Linked DNA regions of Canis lupus familiaris. The protein of the gene in region 1 interacts with the protein of each later gene in a pairwise test. Links are inferred from orthologs where the notes say so. Each region holds a gene or a part of one and is shown in the gene's direction. Other genes may lie near its edges.

What was found. The genes of interacting proteins can lie anywhere in the genome.
Region 2: the proteins of RNPS1 (region 1) and SRSF1 interact in a two-hybrid assay, tested with the Homo sapiens proteins (2 studies listed by BioGRID and IntAct, with this or other methods). The link is inferred for Canis lupus familiaris from reciprocal best matches to the Homo sapiens genes RNPS1 and SRSF1.

The regions. Positions count from the first base shown.
Region 1 is NC_049227.1:39,160,895-39,171,720, forward strand, and holds the start of RNPS1 (RNA-binding protein with serine-rich domain 1), read left to right. Parts: upstream 1-3,709; 5' UTR 3,710-3,847; coding exon of another isoform or gene 3,848-3,849; intron 3,850-4,368; exon of another isoform or gene 4,369-4,387; intron 4,388-6,461; 5' UTR 6,462-6,578; coding exon 6,579-6,649; intron 6,650-6,888; coding exon 6,889-7,044; intron 7,045-7,684; coding exon 7,685-7,876; intron 7,877-8,190; coding exon 8,191-8,293; intron 8,294-8,574; coding exon 8,575-8,728; intron 8,729-10,826. UniProt on the Homo sapiens protein: Part of pre- and post-splicing multiprotein mRNP complexes. Auxiliary component of the splicing-dependent multiprotein exon junction complex (EJC) deposited at splice junction on mRNAs.
Region 2 is NC_049230.1:32,650,135-32,661,027, reverse strand, and holds SRSF1 (serine/arginine-rich splicing factor 1), read left to right. Parts: upstream 1-5,302; 5' UTR 5,303-5,450; coding exon 5,451-5,644; exon of another isoform or gene 5,645-6,051; coding exon 6,052-6,236; intron 6,237-6,610; coding exon 6,611-6,783; intron 6,784-6,982; coding exon 6,983-7,177; 3' UTR 7,178-9,122; downstream 9,123-10,893. UniProt on the Homo sapiens protein: Plays a role in preventing exon skipping, ensuring the accuracy of splicing and regulating alternative splicing.

The DNA.
Region 1 (10,826 bases):
GTCTTGGCCCCCACCACCCTTCAGGAGAGCACCAGGAAGCAAGATGCTGGGCCCGAGTCCCATCCCTGTCGCACAGGCCCACGTGGCCTAGGCCGCAAGCAGCATGTGGAGGAGCTGAAGCCACAGGGTCAGGCCCGGGGAGCGGGGGCCCTGCCTTCCTTCCTCAACACACAGGGCTGCCCAGGCCCCGCTCTCGGGGCCCGGCCTACACCCCACAGATGCTGGCACCAGACGCTTCCAAGGCTGAAGAAGCTCCAAGTCAACTGGCTGTGGATGGCGCAACGAGGGCCTGAGGAGCAGGGACAGGGGCCAAGGTGGCTTGGCCACAGCCAACGCTGCCACAAGGCCCTCAGCTCACCTAGTGCTACGGCGCCCCAGCTAGACTGCCCCATATCCAGCTCTGGCTGGGTCCCACCCTCTCCCTGTGACAACCACAGCTGTGCTGTCACTATTCCTGACTTCCCTGGGGCAGAAACAAACACCGGGCTTTGGGCATGGAAACCAGCACAAGCCCCTAAGCTCACTGCTCAGCAGCCCCTAGGAGAGTCCTGAGGTGTCTGCTGCCTGCTGGCAGGGGGAGAGGGGAGGTCTCGGGACCTGACACCCCACACCTTGGAGACACGAGCCTGGAGCTGGAGAAGCCTCCCCACGACTCAGACCCTCACTGGTGGCCTGGCCCTTTAACACCAGCCTGGCCACCCAGAAGGACCAGCCAGTGCCTCTTCCTGGGCTCCTTCAGGGGCTGCAGGCACTCACTCTGTCATCGCCAAGGCCTGGCAATCCGCCTCCTCTCCTAATGCCTCCCTCAAGGTCACCAAGCTGTCACCAAGCCATCACCAGCTCCCTGCGGCCACCCAAACCCTTCTGTGCAGCCTGGCTGGGCCACCGCTGCCCTCAGCACAGAGACTCTTAGTGATAGGTAGACATGCTTTCTTGACGTGGTTTACAAGGGAATGCGATGCCCACGTGGCTCCTGGATACCCCACCGTGACCTCCAGAACAATCCAGGTAACCACTGAACGCTGTGTCCCAGGTCACCAGCCTCCAAGGACAGGCACTGCAGAGCCCATCAGGCCCACAGAGAATGCAGGCCGACGGAACATTCTGATTCCAAAGTGAGACCAGCTCCACGTGCCAACAGGTGGCCTTCAGCCCCGGGGCTCAGGACACCGGCAGAGCCTGCAGGATGCCTGTGCTCTGGCGCTCCAGGCCTGGGCTGGCCGCTGAACGCCCCGTCCGCAGGGCCCTGCCCCAGCCCCACCATCACACCTGCTCCACAGTCCTTCGGAGCTTCCCGGGGAGGGGATCCCCGGGTGGCTCTGTGGTTTGGCGCCTGCCTTTGGTCCAGGCCCGTGATCCTGGAGTCCTGGGATCGAGTCCTGCATCAGGGTCCCTGCTTGGAGCCTGCTTCTCCCTCTGCCTGTGTCTCTGCTCCCCACCCCTCTCTCTATGTCTATCATGAATAAATAAATAAAATCTTGGAAAAAAAAAAAAAAGCTTCCTGGGGACCCAGCCTCCCAGTCCTCCCCTCCAGGGCCTGGGTGGGTTAGCACAGGGGCATAGGAAGGGGGAAGCCAGAACCCCTGGACGGCCAGGGCCTCCAGTTTTTACTTCTTGTTTCTTCCAAACACATTCTGTTCATCTTCAAAATGGCACAAGACAAGATGCTCAAGTTTTAAAGCTCAACAGCTGATAACACACTTGATAACAAAGATCTATAATATTTAGAAACAAATATGATTAAATTTATGTGTCTGAATAAATCATGCTTTAGATTTAATATAAAACATGTTAAAATTTACATGCATGCCAAGTTCTATCAGTTTAGCACATTTTAAAAAGACACAAGGGGTTGTCAGCCCAGCTGGTTGTCCCCACCCCCATATGGCCACATGGAGCTCCTGGCCCCTGGCCTGCTCCCCCACCTAGGGTGTTGGCACCACGCAGGGCTGGGCAAAGGCTCCGGATCAAGGCCCTCAGGAACGCACCAATGATTGGGCCAGGCGTGTGCAGCTGACAGGCTGCCACGGCCTCCTCACAGACCTCCACTGGCTATAGGCCTGGACCACCAAGTCCACCCCACCCCCAGTGCTGACCCTCTGGGCCCCTTCACTGCTGCAGTGCCGAGCCGGGACTGTCCCCCATTCCCACTTACTCCTCCACACCTGGCCATGGCAGCGGTAACAATGAGGCAGAGAATTTAAGTTGCTCTAAATGGACCCCCACAACTCTAGGGCAGATCTAAATCCAAAGGGAGGACCTGCGCTCAGACCCACTCTGCCTGCCAACCCAGCTCATTCTCCAAGAGCGTCCTGGTGTCTTAGCAAACAGGGACTCAGGAGGCAACTGCTTTTTCCCTGCTCTTTTGCTGGTGACTCTCAGACACCCCTCCATCAGGTATAGGGGTACACTGACCCACCAGACCAGGCTAGAGGAGCTGCACAGGAAAGGGCGTCACCATCCATGTGCTGGGAAAACCATACAGAGCAGAGAGCAATGGCCTGCAGACGGTGTCCACAGTCTGTCCATCCATCCCTGGTCACCACACTGCAACCCGGACTCTCCTGCCCCCGCCCCGGCAGCTAATCCATCTCCAAGTCACCACAGCTCCTTCCTCCAAGAGATCTGCTTTGGATCTGTTCCCTTCTCCTCCTTGATGCACCTACCTGTGCAGACAGCCACTGGGGCAGGGTGCACCTTCCCTCCTCCCACTCAGTCCTGGGGTAACCACCGGTAGCCAGACTGGGGCAGGGACTCCGTGGGAGACACCTCGGGGAACACACCCCGAAAGCTCTGGCCCTCTCGGCGCGGCTTTTACTCTTCCCAGCCTCCTGCCTGGCCCGGGCCGTACTTCAACAGAGGAGTCCGCCTCCCTGCCTGCACTGTCCCCCGCGAGGTGTGGGGTGGGGGTGGGGGTGGGGGGGTGCTGCACAGGCTCCCGCTCGGCACCCGAACCTCACCTGCCCGGCCCTGGCCTGCGAGTCGCCCCCTGGCCTCCCCTCAACGAGCCCCCTTCGTGCCCCTGCACCTGCTGCTCCCTCACCGGGCGCCTCCTTCCCCTCGGGTCTTGGTCTGGCGCAGTGCCCCCTCCTCCTCCGGGGTGCTTGCCCTTTCGCAACTTCTCTTCTATCCGGTCTTTCGCTCCCCACTGCGATGGCAGCACTGCCCCTGTCCACGCTCAGGGCCAACGACCGCGTGGGCACTCCGCACCTCTCCTGCCCAGCTCTCTGGGCAGCTGGCGCCCCGCGAGACCCCACAGTCCGCAGCCAGAGGCCACACAGCCCTCAGCACCCCCGCACTGCCCCCGTCGGGCCGCGCACTGTCCCGCACTGCCCCGCCCCGCCCCCGCCCTGCCCCGCACCGTCCCCTCCGGTCCCCGCACTGCCCCCGCCGGCCCCCGCCAGCCACCGCACTGTCCCCGCCGCCCACCTCACCGCCCCCGCCGCCCCGCGCGCTGGAGCGGGAACCCGGGCTGCTAGTCCAGTGCGCACGCGCAACGGGGGGGCGGGGCCGCCGCTGCGTTAACCCCCTCGGCGCCGGCCCGGAGCCGCCCGCCCTGCGCGGCCCTCCCGCCCCCAGCAGTCGGCCGGCCCCCTGCGGCACGCAGCCGGCCCAGGGTCGCCCCAGATCCCCGCCTCGCGGGGGAGACAGAAGACGAGGCCCCGACGCGGCCCGTCGGGAACGGCCGGGGCCCTTTAACACTCCCTTCGCTCCCTCCATTGGCTGAGGCGGTCACGTCATCGCCGCGCGCCGGAGAGCAGCGCCTTCCCGCTCCCTAATCCTGACGCCAGAGCGGCGCCGGCCTTCGAGGCTGAGGAGAGCGGGCGGAGGTGGCGGCGGCGGGAAGATGTAAGTTGGGGGAATCCGACCCCATCCGAGCTCCGGGGGCCGCCCGCAAGGCTCGGCGGGGCGCGTGGTGGAGCCGGCCCGCCCCTCGGCCTCTTGGTAGGGACGGCGGCCCGGCGGCGCGACAGCGGGCGCGAGAAGAAAGAGTGTGGCCCGGGGCTGGCGGAGTGGGAGGCGCCGAGGCCGCGGCCCGGAAGTGGTCGGGGCCGCGGCGGGCGGAAGGGCGCTCACGTCGGCCCCCTCCCCCTGCGGCGGCCCCGGCAAGGCCCGCGGGATTCGGAGCCGCCCTCGGGCCGGCCCTGGGCTGGGAGTTGCGGGCGCCGGCGGACGGGGGCGGCGTGGGTGGAGTTGCCCCGTGGGGGGCCCGGGAGGCGCGGGGACCGCGCCGCTGCCGCGCGGGCGGGCGGGCCGCCCCACGAGGGGGGCGCGGGAAGGAAGGGAGGCCGCGGCCCTTCTTGGCTGTCGCATGACTTGTGCCAAAAACGTGCTTTTTAAGTGGGGAAGGTGCCCCGAGGACGGGGCCGAACGCCATCTGCTCGAGGTGTGACTAACTGTTCTCTCTCTCTCTGGCTGTTGGACGCGCACCTGTCCGGAGGATGGGGGAGGTAACCCAGGTCCTGTGCCGCGACCCGAACTTGTGTGGACAGAGCGCCGCGGGCTCTGCTCCCCAGGCCCGGCCGCGCCCGCAGCGCTTAGAGTCCGGGGCTTCGGGTGGTGCTGGTGGTCGGAGGGCCCTGGGGTGGGGCCCGGGGGTGCGCCCTGCCGTGGGTGCTGCCCCGGCAGGCGGGCGGCCCGGCCTGGGCCTGAGCCTGAGCCTGGGCCCGGGCCTGGGCCGGGTGGAGGTGTTGGAGAGGTCTGGCGCCCGCGGGGGAGTAAGTGTATCACGGGTGGGTCTTCACTGCCTGTACGTTGGAGAGATGGTATTGGGGGCGTGGGGTGTCAATACTTGGCTGGATCCCTCGTTAACCTCCTTGTGTAACGGGGCTGCTGGAGTGCTTGAGGACGTGCCGGCAGCTCACGCTCTTCTCCTGGGACAGGGCCGCCCTGGGTGATCCTCTTAACGGGCCGTCCAGCATTCAGGAGATCGTGTGGGCCTTTGGGAAACAAGAGTTTATGTAGGGGAAAGCCTGCACACGGGGAGGAGCACCCCTGTCTTGTAACATGAGCGGGCATTTAATTGAGCCCTAACTAGATGCCAAGTTTCCTTCCATGTGAGTAAACTGGGTTGGTGATCTTGGTAACTACGGAGGTGTAGGAGCTGTATCCCCCAAAACGCTGATGAGAGGTGGAGACTCAGAACAGCTGTGGGACTTAGCCCCGGTCCCAAAGCAGAGCTTGGAATCAGACAGGCAGGCTGACTCCAGATTCCTGCCCACTGGACCGTACTTCCTGGTTGTCCAAGGCCACTGACTCCATCCAGTGCTGCTTGCTTACTACCTTACTGTTCCAAGGCAAAACGTCTTAAAAGATTGTACCAGCCTGGAGAGGAGCCTCAAAGGTGACACCCTGCTTGCTTCTGCTCTAATTTGATTGTCCAAAGCTGGCCTCCTTTCTTGAGTCACGACATTCATTTAGCATTTTGCACACCCCTTCACATGTGAGAACAGGATCCCGGGTGGTTGCCATGTCGATGTTACTGACAGGCTGTTGAAGATGAGACAGGAGGAGTTGACACCACCATTCTGCAATCTTCGCTTGCAGCTCAAGCAAATTGTAGAAAAACCTCCCTGGAAAAAATGAAGGTCGCGAGTCCCCCAGGAGACCAGGCACATGATGGTTTGGTGGTTACACTGACCACTCACAACTCATGCTGTGGTGCGGGCACTTGGTGAGACCCTTAGGAGCAGTGCCCTCCAGTTCCAGTGAATACCCGCATAACCACCACGTAGAACCTACAAGTTACATTTCTGCCATATTTGCTTTGTCATAGAACAGATCGCCCATCCACGTTTTTTGTTGCATTTTGAAGTAAATAGCAGGCTTTGGTGTACTTTCCCCATGACGCTTCCATGTGCATATCATTAATTAAAGTTCAGCATTTGCAATGATTGCTTTCTAACTTAACTATTTTACTACTTTTTCAGTGTTCTTATGGGACATTTTATCTGTTTGCATTTGGGTGTTAATGTTTAGATGCTGGTACTTGTCACTTTTGAAATGGTTTTTGATTCTAGTCATGGTATGTTCGATGTATCCTACAAAGAAATTGCAGCAGTAAAACCTGAGATCTAATCACACCAGTGATCCTATCAGGAGAGCCACACTTGACTCTTCTGTTCTGCATGCAAATGTGGTGTTGTAACATTTCTAAGGGAATGGTAAAGGGCTTATCAAACTTAGGAGTGAAAAACAGGTATTGTACCACCTGTAAAAGAACAGTGACAGGCACTACCACCCTTTCCTTAAGGAAAAAACAACAAGGTGAGGTGAAGGTCTACCTGTGGGGGCAAGACCCTCCCTGAGGAAATGGAGGAGATCCCATATGTTCCTGGCTTTGTGGACGCTCGCTGCTTACTGTGTTCCTTGCCATCTTGTGTGCTCACCTTTTGACTGCAAAGTAGATTTGTTGCCTTGCCAACTCGTTCACTCTGTAAATCCTTTTATCTTGTTATTAGGCTGCACTTTGGCGTAAATTGCAATCGATTAGGGATCGTTTCTCAGACTCGAGTTAGAAGTGAGAGTTCAGATAAGTGAGGCCACCATTGCTGCTTTGAACACCTCAGAAGGGGAGAATGGATTTATCAGGAGTGAAAAAGAAGAGCTTGCTAGGAGTCAAAGAAAATAATAAAAAGTCCAGCACTAGGTAATCCTTCTGTCAGATTTTTCTAGTGCTACTTTGGGGGTGCTCATTACTAGGGACCCTCAGCAAGGGGAAGAATGGAAATGACTTACGTTCTACAGTGACGTGTCTTAAGCCACAGATCATTTTGCTCTGTGATCACCTGGGATCTCTATAGCCCTTTGGATCCCCTCTTTTGGGTAGTTTTGTTTTAGGGTTTGGTCAGAGGGGCATGCGATCTCACACTCTTCCTCACCATCCAGGGCTCCTTCTCCTACCAAACGCAAAGACCGTTCTGATGAGAAGTCCAAGGATCGTTCTAAAGATAAAGGGGCCACCAAGGAGTCAAGTGAGAAGGATCGTGGCAGGGATAAAACTCGGAAGAGGCGCAGCGCTTCCAGTGGTAGCAGCAGCACCAGGTGGGACCCGGCAGGACAGAGCACCCCTGAGCACCCGAGAGGGCTTCTCTTCTGTGGCCACGCCCCTTTCCCTTCCCAGGGAGCTGGCAGGGTGCTCTGTGGTCTTCGTAATTTACCAACATACTCTGAGGTGGTTCATCAAGGCCTGGATTATGGCAGAGTGGTTTGAGTTTGCTCTGGTTACATATGGAAGATGGTGTTGAGGTGTTTTCTGGAGATGTTAAAGACTGGGACATCTTGGGGTATAAGTTTCTCTCGAGTGTTTTTTTGTTTAGAGTTGTGATTGGATTGCTCTAGCCTAAAGCTTATTTTTCCCTCAGTTGAAAACCAGCCCGAGTCCCTGGGTAGCTACCATCCAGGCAGGGCTGGTGCTTCTGGTTTGCCAGACTCTGTGCCTCCCAGTAGGTGAGGCTCCTGTATGGCTAGGAGGTGGCTCTTTCCTGTCACTGCACAGTGTGATTTTCTGTCCCTACCTGGGGTTTCAGCTGGGCAGGAGTGGGGCCCTCCGAGGAGGGGAGACATTGAAGCTTGGAAATGGGAGGACATTTACCTCTTGGGAATAGGAGCAAGTATGGGCTCATGTGTGGGAAGAAATACTCTCGTGCACTGTTGCCCCTGACCTCACCGTCTCATTTGTCAGGTCCCGGTCCAGCTCTACCTCCAGCTCAGGCTCCAGCACCAGCACAGGCTCCAGCAGTGGCTCCAGCTCTTCCTCAGCCTCTAGCCGCTCAGGAAGTTCCAGCACATCTCGCAGTTCCAGCTCCAGCAGCTCCTCTGGCTCACCCAGTCCTTCTAGGCGTAGGCATGACAACAGGAGGCGTTCCCGCTCCAAGTAAGCTCCTTTCCAGCACCTCTTCTCAACTCAGGAGTGCCTTGGTTGGGAAGGGATTGCCCTCAAAACTTGTGAATTATCTGGGAAACTAAGTTCACAAATGGGGGACGATAAAGTTATTCTTGTTACTATAGAAGTAGATCTAAAAAGGAGTCTTTCTATTTTAGTAGGATTTCTGAAGCAGAGCTAATATGAAATACATGAACTGGTAGGGGAAGGCTTCCTTATAAAAACTATCTTAGTAGCAATTAGCAGCCCCACTAAAAAATTTTGACAGAAATTGATTGTTTCTGGTGTTTTGTTTCTTCAATCAGATCCAAACCACCCAAAAGAGATGAAAAGGAAAGGAAAAGGCGGAGTCCTTCCCCTAAACCCACCAAAGTACACATCGGGAGGCTCACCAGGAATGTGACCAAGGTGAGGGATCCTGGATCTGTCCAGTGGGCAGTGGGATATGTCTATTCTACATATGTTTTAAATGGAAAACTAGAGAAGCAGGCCTCAGCCTCAGGTGAACTGAGGGCATAGGCTTTCCAGGGCCTGACCAGAGCGTTTGTCAAGGGGAGCAGTAACTCCCTCAGGGTGACCCTGTGTGAGAAACTTAACCCCAGGTGCCAAGGCTATTGATGTGTCGTGCATTTTCAGTTCCCACATGGGTAGTTGTGAGTATGCATCAGAGTGACCTGTCTTTGCTCTAGGACCACATCATGGAGATATTCTCCACCTATGGGAAGATTAAAATGATTGACATGCCTGTAGAAAGGATGCACCCCCATCTGTCTAAAGGCTATGCATACGTGGAGTTTGAGAATCCAGATGAAGCCGAGAAGGCACTGAAGCACATGGATGGAGGTGAGTGACCTTGCCAGCCCTCTCTGAGCTCCCTTCTCTATTCCCTATGCAGGACAAGCTACCTGCCACACATAGGGAACTTTAGAACTGATTTCCAACCTGGCTGCACATCACAGTCTCCCTGGAGCTCTTAGGATTCTGGTTCTTAACCAGTGGAGGTGTGTGTGTGTATCAAAAACAAGTTTTATGGGACACTATTCTTGGAAAAAGATCAGCAAATATGAATATATTAGCATTTCTAGAATTTCCTAATCTTTGAAAGTTTAAGGATTAAATGAAGAGTTTTTGTCTTATTTTTACAAAGAATACATTATGAGTATGAACGATGAAGCATTTGGCTTTTATATGGGAGTGTTTCCTTTAATTCTGAGAGTCATTTTCTGTTGTGCTAACATTTCATCATTTTTAGGATTACTTTCCTGAATTCACACATTTTAACCCATTTCCCTAAAGTTTGTATCTTAACTGTTTGTGACATTTATAGCTGTTCTACATTGAGCAGATGGTATTAATAACAGTTGAACACTTGTGAATAGTTTTGGATGGCCAGTTCTGGTTTTGTCTTCATGTCAGTGTTTTCAGGAGCTTAGAATTTGTCACTGCGCCAGCTCGCTGCAGTAGTAATCTAGACAGACGAGGCCAAAAGCCAGGACTGCCCAAAGCACAGTGTGAGCTGCTAGGCCACAAAGGAGAGTCTGAACACCAGAACCTATTATGCACTTAAAAAATAGTGCAGCGGGGATCCCTGGGTGGCTCAGTGGTTTAGCGCCTACTTTTTCGGCCCAGGGCGTGATCCTGGAGTCCTGGGTTCGAGTTCTGCATCAGGCTCCCTGAATGGAGCCTCCTTCTCCCTCTGCCTGTGTCTCTGCCTTTCTCTCTCTCTTTCTGTGTGTTTCTCATGAATAAATAAATGCAATCTTTAAAAAAAAAAAAAAAATAGTGCAGCAGTTTGAGTAGTTGCCCTTGAGCCCTGATGGAGCTCAGATACTAGGAAAATTTCCTACCCACTAGGCTAACACTCTTTCAATCTACTTAAATCGCTTTGAAGTCTTATAGAAGTTCAGCATCAACCGTGGCCCATCAGGCTGCACACAGCCCTTTTTTTTTTTTTCTCTCTTTTTTTAAGGATTGTATTTATTCATGAGAGTTAGAGAGAGAGGCTGAGACAGAGGGAGAAGCAGGCCCCATGCCGGGAGCTCAGTGCGGGACTTGATCCCGGGACCCCAGGATCATGACCTGAGCCAAAGGCAGACACTCAACCGCTGAGCCACCCAGGGGTTCCTGCACACAGCATCTCTTGACCTTAGGAATCACACTTTCATTTTAGAGACCTTCAGTCATGCATCTCTGAGAGTTAGAGCACTTGCTAAAAATTCAAGAACACTTGGGGGTATCCAGGGTGTACATTCCTATACATATTTCACACTTACTAAGATTGTAGTAGGACCTATGTGTGTGTCCACATATGGTGCTGCATACCATCGAATGGGATAGCTCCATGTTATCTCCAGAAGGGAAGTGGAAGGGCCTAGCCCTTCCAGGCACCTGGCCAAAAGATAGATTTGTTCTCATGCTCTATGGTCAGTGCCCCTGAGATTGCTAATTTGGGCTGGCTTTGGCAGTGGGCCCGGGGCGGGGGCGGGGGGACCTTAGGCTGCATTTATTTGTCTTTTGAGTATATTCTGAACACAGGTCTGTGTGCCCAAATTATCCCCTCAATACCTTTGCTATTGCCTTGAGGGTATGAATTGAGCAGATAAAAGAACCCTCCACCCTTTGGGGGCACACAAGGGCTGTGGTTGGTCCCCTGAGCAGTCCCTGGACTGGCGTTGGGCTGCATGCTACCCCGGCACTCCTAGGTCTGCACCTTGCCTTTCTTTGCTCTTTTCCTGAGGCCCTGAAGATTCCTCAGGCCTCCATCCTGAGTTGCCTTACCTCACTACTCTCATTCTGTTGTATTTACACATCTGGTTTTTTGGTCTGAAGCACTTTTTCCAAACTCTTCAGACAGAATTGACACCTGAACCTTGTTTTATTTTTTTCCCCCACTCCAGAAGCCTTTCTTCCTCCTGAGCCATGATGTAATCATAGCTCACCC
Region 2 (10,893 bases), on another chromosome or scaffold:
TTAAAAAAAAACCATAAAGTTCCTTAAAGAGCCATTTACTCCAATTAGGAAATGTGCAACATGAATTGCAGTTTTAATTTTTAAGGGAAAGAACTAAGAAAGAGAGAGTCATAATATTAATAGGAAGAGGGAGACATGGTGAAAATATATCTATTTGTAACATCATTTTAATAGCTGGTTTCTGGCAAGATCATATCTTATTGTTATTAACGATGGGAAGAAATGGCCAAAAACAAAACAAGAAGAGTCAAAGAATAAGGGAAGCCAGTCCTAAAATAAGATTACCCAGACTATATTATTAGAGGACTTATTTGGGCCTGTAAAGTGGCCATCATTTTTATACTGTGAAATGAAAACAATCCTTGTACCCATTGTGTCTATCCACTGGTAGCAACATGATGAGGTTTCCATAGAAACAACATTCTGCTCATCTAACGGCCCACCTCTTTCAAAAGGCAGTTACCAAACTGTCAATAATTTTAACAGAGATTTTACTGGTAATAAAGAAGTTACAGCAGAAATCTGTCCTCCGTAGAGTTTGCTAGAAATGAGACAAATATAAATGAAATAAAAAGATATATACTAGTCCTTCCTTTTTCAGAGAATATTTAGCACTAAAGCAAGTGGAACAAGGGAACAGAGTCATGCAAATGAACTGTTCCTGAAGGGAACTCCTGTACACAGTAGAATCAAATATTCCTCATCTCTGTGTCTCTTTACCCAGTAAAAATAAGGAATCCCCAAGGAAGACAGTAGGGATTGACACATGAATATGGAAAACAGAACTTCCAGATTCAAAAAGCCGTATTAAAAAAAAATTAAAAAAAAAAAAAAAAAAAAAAGCCGTATTACAGTGCAAATTATTCTAGAATACTCACTATCCCCAATAATGCCTTTAGAGAAATGCATTAGCGAGTGACTTACCTGATTTTGTAAATATTTTTCCCCATTTAGAAAAAAAATTTTATTGAGTTACAATTTACATACTATACAATTCCCTTGCTTTATGTACGTACAATTCAATGATTTTTAGTATATTTACAGGGTTGCATAACTATCACCACAGGTATAGAGAATAAAGTGTTCGGCAAATAACTGAAAAACTGGGTTGTGTGACTTCAACCTTTTTTTTTCCCTCAAGTAATTATTTCCAGGGTAAAATATAGTGCCGACACTAGTATATATTTACTAGACTGAATTGAAAGCATTTAAAATTTTTTGAGGAAAAAAAGAAGAAAAAATAAAATAAAATTTTTTGAGGAAGTCACTTTTTATAAACAGCAACAGTGTTAAAAATAAGGCAACTTCTGAGGATTAAGCTAATAAAATGTATACTTCATAAATTAGCTAGCTGTGGGAGCAGCCCTAAAACTACCAGTGAATGTGTAATTGAGGGGTTCGCAAATACTGTGAACCCCTAATTAAGGTGAGGATGTAATCTCAGGAGGAAAACTGGAAGTGGTTGTAAATCGGTTAGCAGAAATCTAATTTGTCTAGTATGCTGTTCAAAGTTTATGTGAAGATCTGCTACAGAAAGAGACTTGTCAGGGTGCCTAGGTGACTCATTCAGGTGAGCATCTGACTCTTGATCTCAGGGTCCTGAGTTCAGGTTCTGCATTGGCTTCTGTGCTGGAGGTGGAGCCTACTTAAAAAAAAAAAATCTCCAGTCTTTACCCAGCATCATTGTCCAGGGAGCAGACACACAAAATCCAAGGGGTATAAATGAAGACATATACTCTGAAGTGGGGCAGGGGTCATTTTTTAAGGTCTCACCACTATCTGAATGAGATCTCTCAAAACAATTCGCCTCATTTTGCTTTGATTACTCATTTACTAAGCAACTGCCTGATCTGTTTTCCAGACCTGCCAAAACAGTTGTCTTGGTGTATACAATCTGAGCATCCTGGCTACCAAAAATGAATCTGTTCCCCCCACTCCCTGCCTCCCAAAAAATGAATAAATGGTTTGGTTTGCTTGCTTTCTTATTTTTTACTCTTGTGGACTAAAATATGTTAATTAACTCTGGGATACTAATATATTTTTAAAAAATATTTATTTATTTATTTATTAGAGAGAGAGAGAGAAAGAGAGGCAGAGACACAGGAGGAGGGAGAAGCAGGCTCCACACAGGGAGCCCGATGTGGAACTTGATCCCGGGACTCCAGGATCGCGCCCTGGGCCAAAGGCAGGCACTAAACTGCTGAGCCACCCAGGGATCCCCTGGGATACTGATATTAAGATTACGCCCTTGAGGTACCTGGGTGGCTCAGTCTGGTTAAATTTCAGATTCTTGGTTTTGGCTCAGGTCATGATCTCAAAGTCCTAAGATTGAGCCTTGTGGAGGGCTCTGTGCTCAGATGAGAGTTGGCTTGAGATTCTCTCTTTCTTCCTCTGCCCCTCACCCCTACACTCGTGCTCTCTCTCAAATAAGTCTTAAAAAAAAAAAAAAAAAGAAAAAAAAGAGGGGCAGCCTGGGTGGCTCAGCAGTTTAGTGCAGCCTTCTGCCCAGGGCATGATCCTGGAGACCCAGGATGGAGTCCCACACCGAGCTCCCTGCGTGGAGCCTGCTTCTCCCTCTGCCTGTGCCTCTGCCTCTCTCTCTCTCTCTCTCTTGTGTGCCTCATGAATAAATAAATAAAATACTTTTTTAAAAAAGATCACAGCCTTAACTGTAATAATCACCAAACTAATGTCATCCTGGTAGACCTTAAAAAAGAGCCACTCAGGGATCCCTGGGTGGCGCAGCGGTTTGGCGCCTGCCTTTGGCCCAGGGCGCGATCCTGGAGACCCGGGATCGAGTCCCACATCGGGCTCCCTGCATGGAGCCTGCTTCTCCTCTGCCTGTGTCTCTGCGCCTCTCTCTCTCTCTCTGTGATATCATAAATAAATAAAAATTAAAAAAAAAAAAGAGCCACTCAGACTTTTCCTGCTATATTCTGACCTCATGATGGACCCCAGAATCTCTAATTTGGTTACATCAAATACAATAAAAGAAGCCAAGAGAGGAGCAAGAATATCCTATTCATTCTATATTAAATTCTACTTGTATTCATCTGAACATCAGAAATAACTGCCTGAAAAAAAAAAAAAAAAGAAATAACTGCCTGAAATTGGACAAGAATAAATCAAAGCAAATTTACAATTTTCTTATTTTTCTGGAATGAAAATGTCTTGAAATTAATTAATTAATTAATGTCTTTTCTGCTACTAACCGAGTAGCACAGTGCTAAAAACTGAATAAATTTGTTGAAATAGGGATCCCTGGGTGGCGCAGCGGTTTGGTGCCTGCCTTTGGCCCAGAGCGCGATCCTGGAGACCCGGGATCGAATCCCACATTGGGCTCCCGGTGCATGGAGCCTGCTTCTCCCTCTGCCTGTGTCTCTGCCTCTCTCTCTCTCTCTCTCCTCTGTGTGTGTGTGTGTGTGTGACTATCATAAATAAAAACAAAAATTAAAAAAAAAATTTGTTGAAATAGTGTCTTTTTTGGTCAGCTTCTTTGGTCATTTTGAAAATAATCAGGTTCTTTTTTTTTTTAATTAAAAGCCCAGTTTCAAAAATCCCACTGATGGATAATCAATGAAGGATATTCTAAAAGATAGATAATCTGTCCTTCCCTCTAAAATTTTCAGAGGTCTCTTAGCTTTGGGAATCTACAGACCCCTATAAGAATCTAACTAAAAATTCAAATCCTCTTTGCAGAAAAAGTACATGCGTGTATATGCATAATTTTGGAAACCATCACAGAGTTCTAGAACTACCAAAGATCCTCTATGAATCTGTTCAGGATCAAACTGAATTTTTTATTTCGGGATCACTCAGAGACATTGGTAAAATGCACTCAATCAACTTTTAGAACGAAGAAAACATGCCCTTCTCCTAAACAATGTACTTATTTTTTAATCTCAAAGGCACTTAGGATTTTGAATATACTTGTGTTCCCTTCTTTCCTATGACTTCTGGGATGACTGGAGTCAAATTTGCAGTCCATCTTTAGTAACTGGGCAGGCAATTACCTCAGGCATTTTGTATAGTATCCTTATCCATGACTTCATCTTAAATTCCTCCCCTCTTATTTTCCTATTCCCCCTGAGTTCTTGGTACAGTTTTAATAATGTTCTAGGTTACCTCTGTAAACTGCTTCACATCCTTGGGGACCATTGCAAACAAATACATACTATGAAGAAAATCCTCCGTAAACTCAGAGTGCAGATGTTTTAGCATATTTATGACGGCAGGGTTTTCTTAAAAGTTGAATTCATTACAAATATTTTAAAATCCCAACATTTTACATAAAAATCCAGATTTCAGATATCTCTGAAAAAAATGTTAACAGGTTCTTATTTCCCTGGGCCGCCATGCAAGTGGGATCAGTTCTGAGCAGCAACTGTGGTCTCCAGGGGTCACAGTTCTAACACATCCCCCCAGCTCGTTTAAATATTACCTGAGAGGCTCGGGAATGAGGTCAGAAAGAGGAACAAACTCCAGGATTCTGCCAACACACGCGCGCTTTTTCTTGTTTTTTTTTTTTTGAAAGAGTTGGATACGTAACAGGCACAATTCACTCTTCAACCTTTCAATGGACCTCACCTCTGCGCTAGGCCCAGTGATGGGCGATTAAAGAGAAGCTGAGGTCTCAGTCCTAGTTGACTGGTCAGGGCTCGGCCACCGCCACTAGGTCAAGGCGTGTTGAGCTGAGCTATACAAAGTCAAGTTCTGAGCCGGCGGTGGAACCGGGTCTAAGCTGGGTTGCCCTAAATGAGACACTTGTCTGAGCAGCCCACCGCCTGAGACCAGAGGGGGCAGGAAAACAAAATCACTACTCAGCTCGGGACTGAAGCACCAACAGCGGAGCTCCGGGACCAGCCTCCCTCTACGAGGATGTTCCCGTTTCCGGAGCAACCGCCAGGTCCCTCCCCCCTTAGCTCCGCCCCCAGCAGTCTTTCCCGCCAAAGGCCGTTAACGCCGCAGAGCATCGTGGGACAAGGCTCCAGGCTAGGTTTCACCCAATGCTTTTAAGGCGCGGACTTGTTTTAAAAGAGACTCATTCCTGAGAAAACGGACTATCCTTTAAGATTCGTCAGGGATTAGTAGCTCCGTGGACGAGGGATCTCTGTTTAATTTTTACCAAAGGGCCGGTCACGTCATTTGCGAGCCACTCCACAAATCCAGAACGCGAGGAACTTTTTTCTCCCTTCGCGCGGAGGGTGACGTCGCGCATGCGTGAGCGTACCGCTCGCAGCACCCGTTACGCTCTTGCGCGTGCGTACTGAGGCCGAATAGCAGCTTCCTCCCGCTTCTCTTCCTCCCTCCCCCCATATCCGTGCGCCGAGCTGATAAAGGCGCCATTTTGGAGGGGCCGCGGGAGACGTGGTGTCGCTGCGGGCTCGCTCTGCCGTGCGCTAGGCTTGGTGGGAAGGCCTGTTCTCGAGTCCGCGCTTTTCGTCGCCGCCATGTCGGGAGGTGGTGTGATTCGTGGCCCGGCAGGGAACAACGACTGCCGCATCTATGTGGGTAACTTACCTCCAGACATCCGAACCAAGGACATTGAGGACGTGTTCTACAAATACGGAGCTATCCGCGACATCGATCTCAAGAATCGCCGCGGAGGACCGCCCTTCGCCTTCGTTGAGTTCGAGGACCCTCGGTGAGGCGGCCTGGGCCTCGCCGCCTGGAGGCAATAAGTTGGAGTAGTTGGGGAAAGGCCTTGTTACCGAGAATGGGGAGGTGGGCTTTTAGGTTGGGGGTAAGACTGTGTCGCCCATGCAGGAGTCGAGTAAGAGCCGAGTCGATGTGGTTTCTCTGGTGGCTGGGCCCACGGACGTCCCCAGAGTGGACTCTCCGTCTCGGAGCGGGAAACTGAGGCGCCGAGGGCTGGTGTAGTGGTCGGGAGCCTGGCGTGCTTCTGGGTGGGGGAGGGGCCATTCCTATTATGCAGCGCATGTGGGCTCTTCCTCGCTGGGTGCGCATGTGCGGGGGCCGCTAGTTCCCGACTGAGTTAGCTGCCCCTCCCGGGCCTTACTCTTACACCTCTTGCTTTCTCTGATCACGCAGAGACGCGGAAGACGCGGTGTACGGTCGCGACGGCTATGATTACGATGGATACCGTCTGCGGGTGGAGTTTCCTCGAAGCGGCCGTGGTACAGGCCGAGGCGGCGGCGGGGGTGGAGGTGGCGGGGCTCCCCGAGGCCGCTATGGGCCCCCATCCAGGCGTTCTGAAAACAGAGTGGTTGTCTCCGGTGAGTTTTCTGTTGGTGAGGGTTGTTGAGGAGGGACAGGAGCCACTTTTAAGTGTTCCCTTGCGTGAGTGGTTTTGACAAATGCCTGTTTTTGTGGTAGGTCTTAAATTTAGTTTCTCGGGTGAGTTTAGTAAAGGATAACCGTAGTGGAGGTGTACCAGTGTGCTAGTTACCTACCATTAGGTCGGATGCCTGGACGATGAAGATCCTTACTTTACAGAGAATTTGGGACTTTGGATTCCAGAATCTTAATTAATGGCTCTCTTACCTACGATCTTGAATCTGATTAATTTTAAAGTGGTTTTCGTTCTAGTATAGATTTTAAGTGTAGTGTGAAATTTAGGGTGATTGGTATTGAAAAAATACTTTTTTAGGACTGCCTCCAAGTGGAAGCTGGCAGGATTTGAAGGATCACATGCGTGAAGCAGGTGATGTATGTTATGCTGATGTTTACCGAGATGGCACTGGTGTCGTGGAGTTTGTACGGAAAGAAGATATGACCTATGCAGTTCGAAAACTGGATAACACTAAGTTTAGATCTCATGAGGTAGGTTTTACACTTACTCTTTTCTTTGGCCAGAATTGGATACAGTGGTCTTAACAGTGGAATTTGAAGGTAAGATTCAGGCAAGGGTGTCCAAGTAAAATACCAGATTTCTGGTTTTAGTTACATTGTATTCGTTCAGCATGCCTGAAGACAGGTGAAAGCTTAGATCTTTCAATCGAAAGTTCTGTCTATTCAATAGGGAGAAACTGCCTACATCCGGGTTAAAGTTGATGGGCCCAGAAGTCCAAGTTATGGAAGATCTCGATCTCGAAGCCGTAGTCGTAGCAGAAGCCGTAGCAGAAGCAACAGCAGGAGTCGCAGTTACTCCCCAAGGAGAAGCAGAGGATCACCACGCTATTCTCCCCGTCATAGCAGATCTCGCTCTCGTACATAAGATGATTGGTGACACTTTTTGTAGAACCCATGTTGTATACAGTTTTCCTTTACTCAGTACAATCTTTTCATTTTTTAATTCAAACTGTTTTGTTCAGAATGGGCTAAAGTGTTGAATTGCATTCTTGTGTAATATCCCCTTGCTCCTAACATCTACATTCCCCTCATGTCTGATAAATTGTATTTTAAGTGATGTCATAGACAGGATTGTTGAAATTTAGTTAATTCTCCATGCTCTTCAGACTGTGATATTGTGTAAATGTCTATTCTGCTCTGGTTTGTGTGAACTGGGATGTTGGGGGTGTTTGTGGTTATCTTACCTGGGGAAGTTCTTATGTTTATCTTGCTTTTCATGTGTCTTTCTGTAGACATATCTGAAGAGATGGATTAAGAATGCTTTGGATTAAGGATTGTGGAGCACATTTCAATCATTTTAGGATTGTCAAAAGGAGGATTGAGGAGGATCAGATCAATAATGGAGGCAATGGTATGACTCCAAGTGCTATTGTCACAGATGAAATTGGCAGTATTGACCTTATACTAAAAGGCAAGGGATAAAAGTGATTATATATATATATATATATATACATCTACCTTAAAACACTTGCAAACATCTTGTGCAGTTATCTTTAGCTACAATTGCTTTGCTCTTTAAACCTTGGCAATTGTGGCAAAATTACATTGCCCATTTTGTAACAATTATTTTGCTCCCTTCCCCCCTTTTTTGTTTTAATAGGGACTAATGTGGGAAGAACTGGCTAATTTGTCACAGTGCTTAGTTACAACTGTTAATGTGTGACCTGCTGTTGGTGTACATGTGGGTACAGGGTGTCTTTAATTCCAACCAGATAGAGTATAATATCAATACTGCTAAATCTGCATGTCCTCTGTGTGACTGATATAGCGTTGCTATTTCATTTTTTTAAGACAAAATGAAAGCAAAATAGAATTCCAATGTATTGGTGTAGATAATCTAGTTGGGAATATTTTTAAGTCTCACCTTCCCCTTTAAACTAATATTCATAATTGACTCATGTTTAAAACACTTTAATTTACAAATTAAATTGCAGATGGGAGCATTAGGTTTAGTTTAGCCTTAGGGTGGGTAGCAATACGAGTAAACTTTTCAACTACATAACTTTTTGCAACCACAAAACCTGTAATACGCTGTACAGTAACAAGTGTTGGCATTATCAGTTGAACTGTAAATATAAAATGCTTCTTCCAATTAGTCTCTATGATGATTAAGTTTCTAAAATTTATCTGAACACCATTCAGAAACTTGTTTTGGGGAATTTGATAGTTATTGATGTACATCTGTTAAACTGATGACAGACATAACTCATCATTCCCCAGAAACCTTTTTTGATTACAGTATCTAACATTTTGCCTCCTCTTTTTTGGTTTTGCTGGTTATAAAGGTTTGGATTGGAGAGGGCTCACTGGATCCCAATCCTTGGAGCTGGATCATTGGATTCAAATCATAATGTGGATAGGATAGGGAGGATGAATTACAAGGATTCATGGAGCGGGATCAGATTACCAGGAACATAGGAGTGGATTCCTGCCCCAACCAAACCGCATTCGTGTGGATTTTTTTTTTTTTTTTTTATTCAACTTAATTGGCTATTCCAAAGATTTTTTTTTTTTTTCCTATTTTTGACGATTGGAGCCCTTAAGATGCACGATGGAATTGTGTTTTGCATTTTTTGGTAAAAGGAGCAAAGCGAGGACCTGGAGATAATACGCTGGAGCAATCTCCTTGGAAGGATTCAGCACGAGTAGATGGTAAACATTTAAAGGGGAAAGGGGGGGTTTGTTTAAAATAGTAAATCAGTAAGTCACTTCTAAATTTAAAAAACAAAATTGGAGTTGAAGAATAAGTAGGTTTCCAATTGGCTATTGCCGTTTTTCTTTGAAAAAAATAAACATTTTTTAAAAAACTATGCATGGTTGTCCTTTTTCCTCTTCATGTAAAATTTCAGTTGGGTGACTAGTTTATCAGTTAATACTTTTGATGAGATTATGTTGTGTGTTAGTAAATTAAAGGTTCTTGAAAGGTAATCTAGTAAGTGGAGTTAGCCATCTCTTATTGTTAATTGTAAAAGACTTCTGGGGGAGATAAGGTTAAGAATAAGGCAATTGTGTATATAATATGGTAAATGGGGGGTGATCTAGTTTCTGAAAGATAATCTTCCCATACTTTGATAAAAATGATTAAATTTATAGATGTTTAATTTTTGGTGATCATCTAGACAACATAGGCTTTTATGCAAAATTGGGTAGTGACCAGTTAATGTTAACTTGGGGATAGCCTTTGAGGTTTTCATGCTCTTCTCAAAAATTGGTAAGTATTAAATGTTAAATTAAGCACAGATTAGCACCCTTAACACAAATTACATTTTTTTCTGAAATGTGAATAATACACTAGAATATTAACTGCTTATTTGTCAATAAAAAGCTGGGCTTTCTTTAGAATTTTGCTTTGCAAAACCCTTCTCAACCATAAGCTGATTCTGTATCCAAAACCTACCAAAGCAGTGATTTATATCTTAGTTTGCTAGTTGTTGTATCTTTTTATTTCGATAGCCCCTTGGTGCTATATTTTCATTTGAGTTGGGGGAGGAGATTTTTACTTAAAATCCCTAATCTTTTTCTTTTGATTTCCTCATAGCTAGTCAAAACCATCAAAACACTTTTTTCTGCACCCAAAAGAAATAACTAAATCTTAAACATTTGCCTTGGATGCTAATCAGAGCTGGAAGCTGAATTTAAGACCACTATGCAGGTGACATAATTTGAAACCTTGGAAAAACTATACATAGTCGTGGTAATAGAAGAAATGGGCCCTAAGATATTTACATAAGGACACCCAACCGAAACATTTAGATGAACCTTGCGGAATGTAAGGAAGAGAATGGGATATTAAGTTCAAAACTTAAGAGTCTCCTTTAAGTAAAGAACTTGGTTGGTATAAATTAAGGAAGTTACTAGTTTTTATGCAAGGATTTAAAATACAACAGTCAAGAAGTGGAAAGATTTTTACTATTTGAAACCTATGTTTCATGTATAGAATATAAATATTTTTAAATGACTAATTTTTGAAATGTTAGTATGAGTTAGACTTAAGCATGTGTTCATTAAATGTGTTGGAAACCAAGATAAAATTGCCTTCACTGAAGATAGTGCATTTAAGCTAAGTTGAGAGCTGTGCTCTACTAAAAGTTTAAGTAGTCCCAACCTCAGAATAGACGTGGGACACAAAATATTGTCTGATAATAAACTGAAGATTAGAGAACTTGGCTGCATATTTATAGAAGGTAGCCGGGTACCAGACCAGGCAGCTAAAACCTCTGAGGGAAGATGCAGACTTTGTTTTTCAGTCTTAGGAAAAGAACCTTAATCTTTATCCATTTTGACAGCTATTTAAAGAACGTCAGTTTTGGAACTAAAGGTGGCCCTGAATTGTTCCCCTTTTCTCCCTATTTATGTTCCTTTAGAATAGTGTAGGGAGCCTGTAATTAGTTTGTTATTTTCTAACCAAGGAAAAACTTAAGAAGCAATTATTTTTCATTAACATCAGATTGAATAACACACCTTGCTGTTCAGCCCACATCCTTCTGGAAGCAAAAGGTAAGAAACCCATTTTCTGATTCCTAGTTTTTTGGGACCTGAATTTTATTTTTAAAATTGGTTTAGTAATTTTTTTCAAGGACT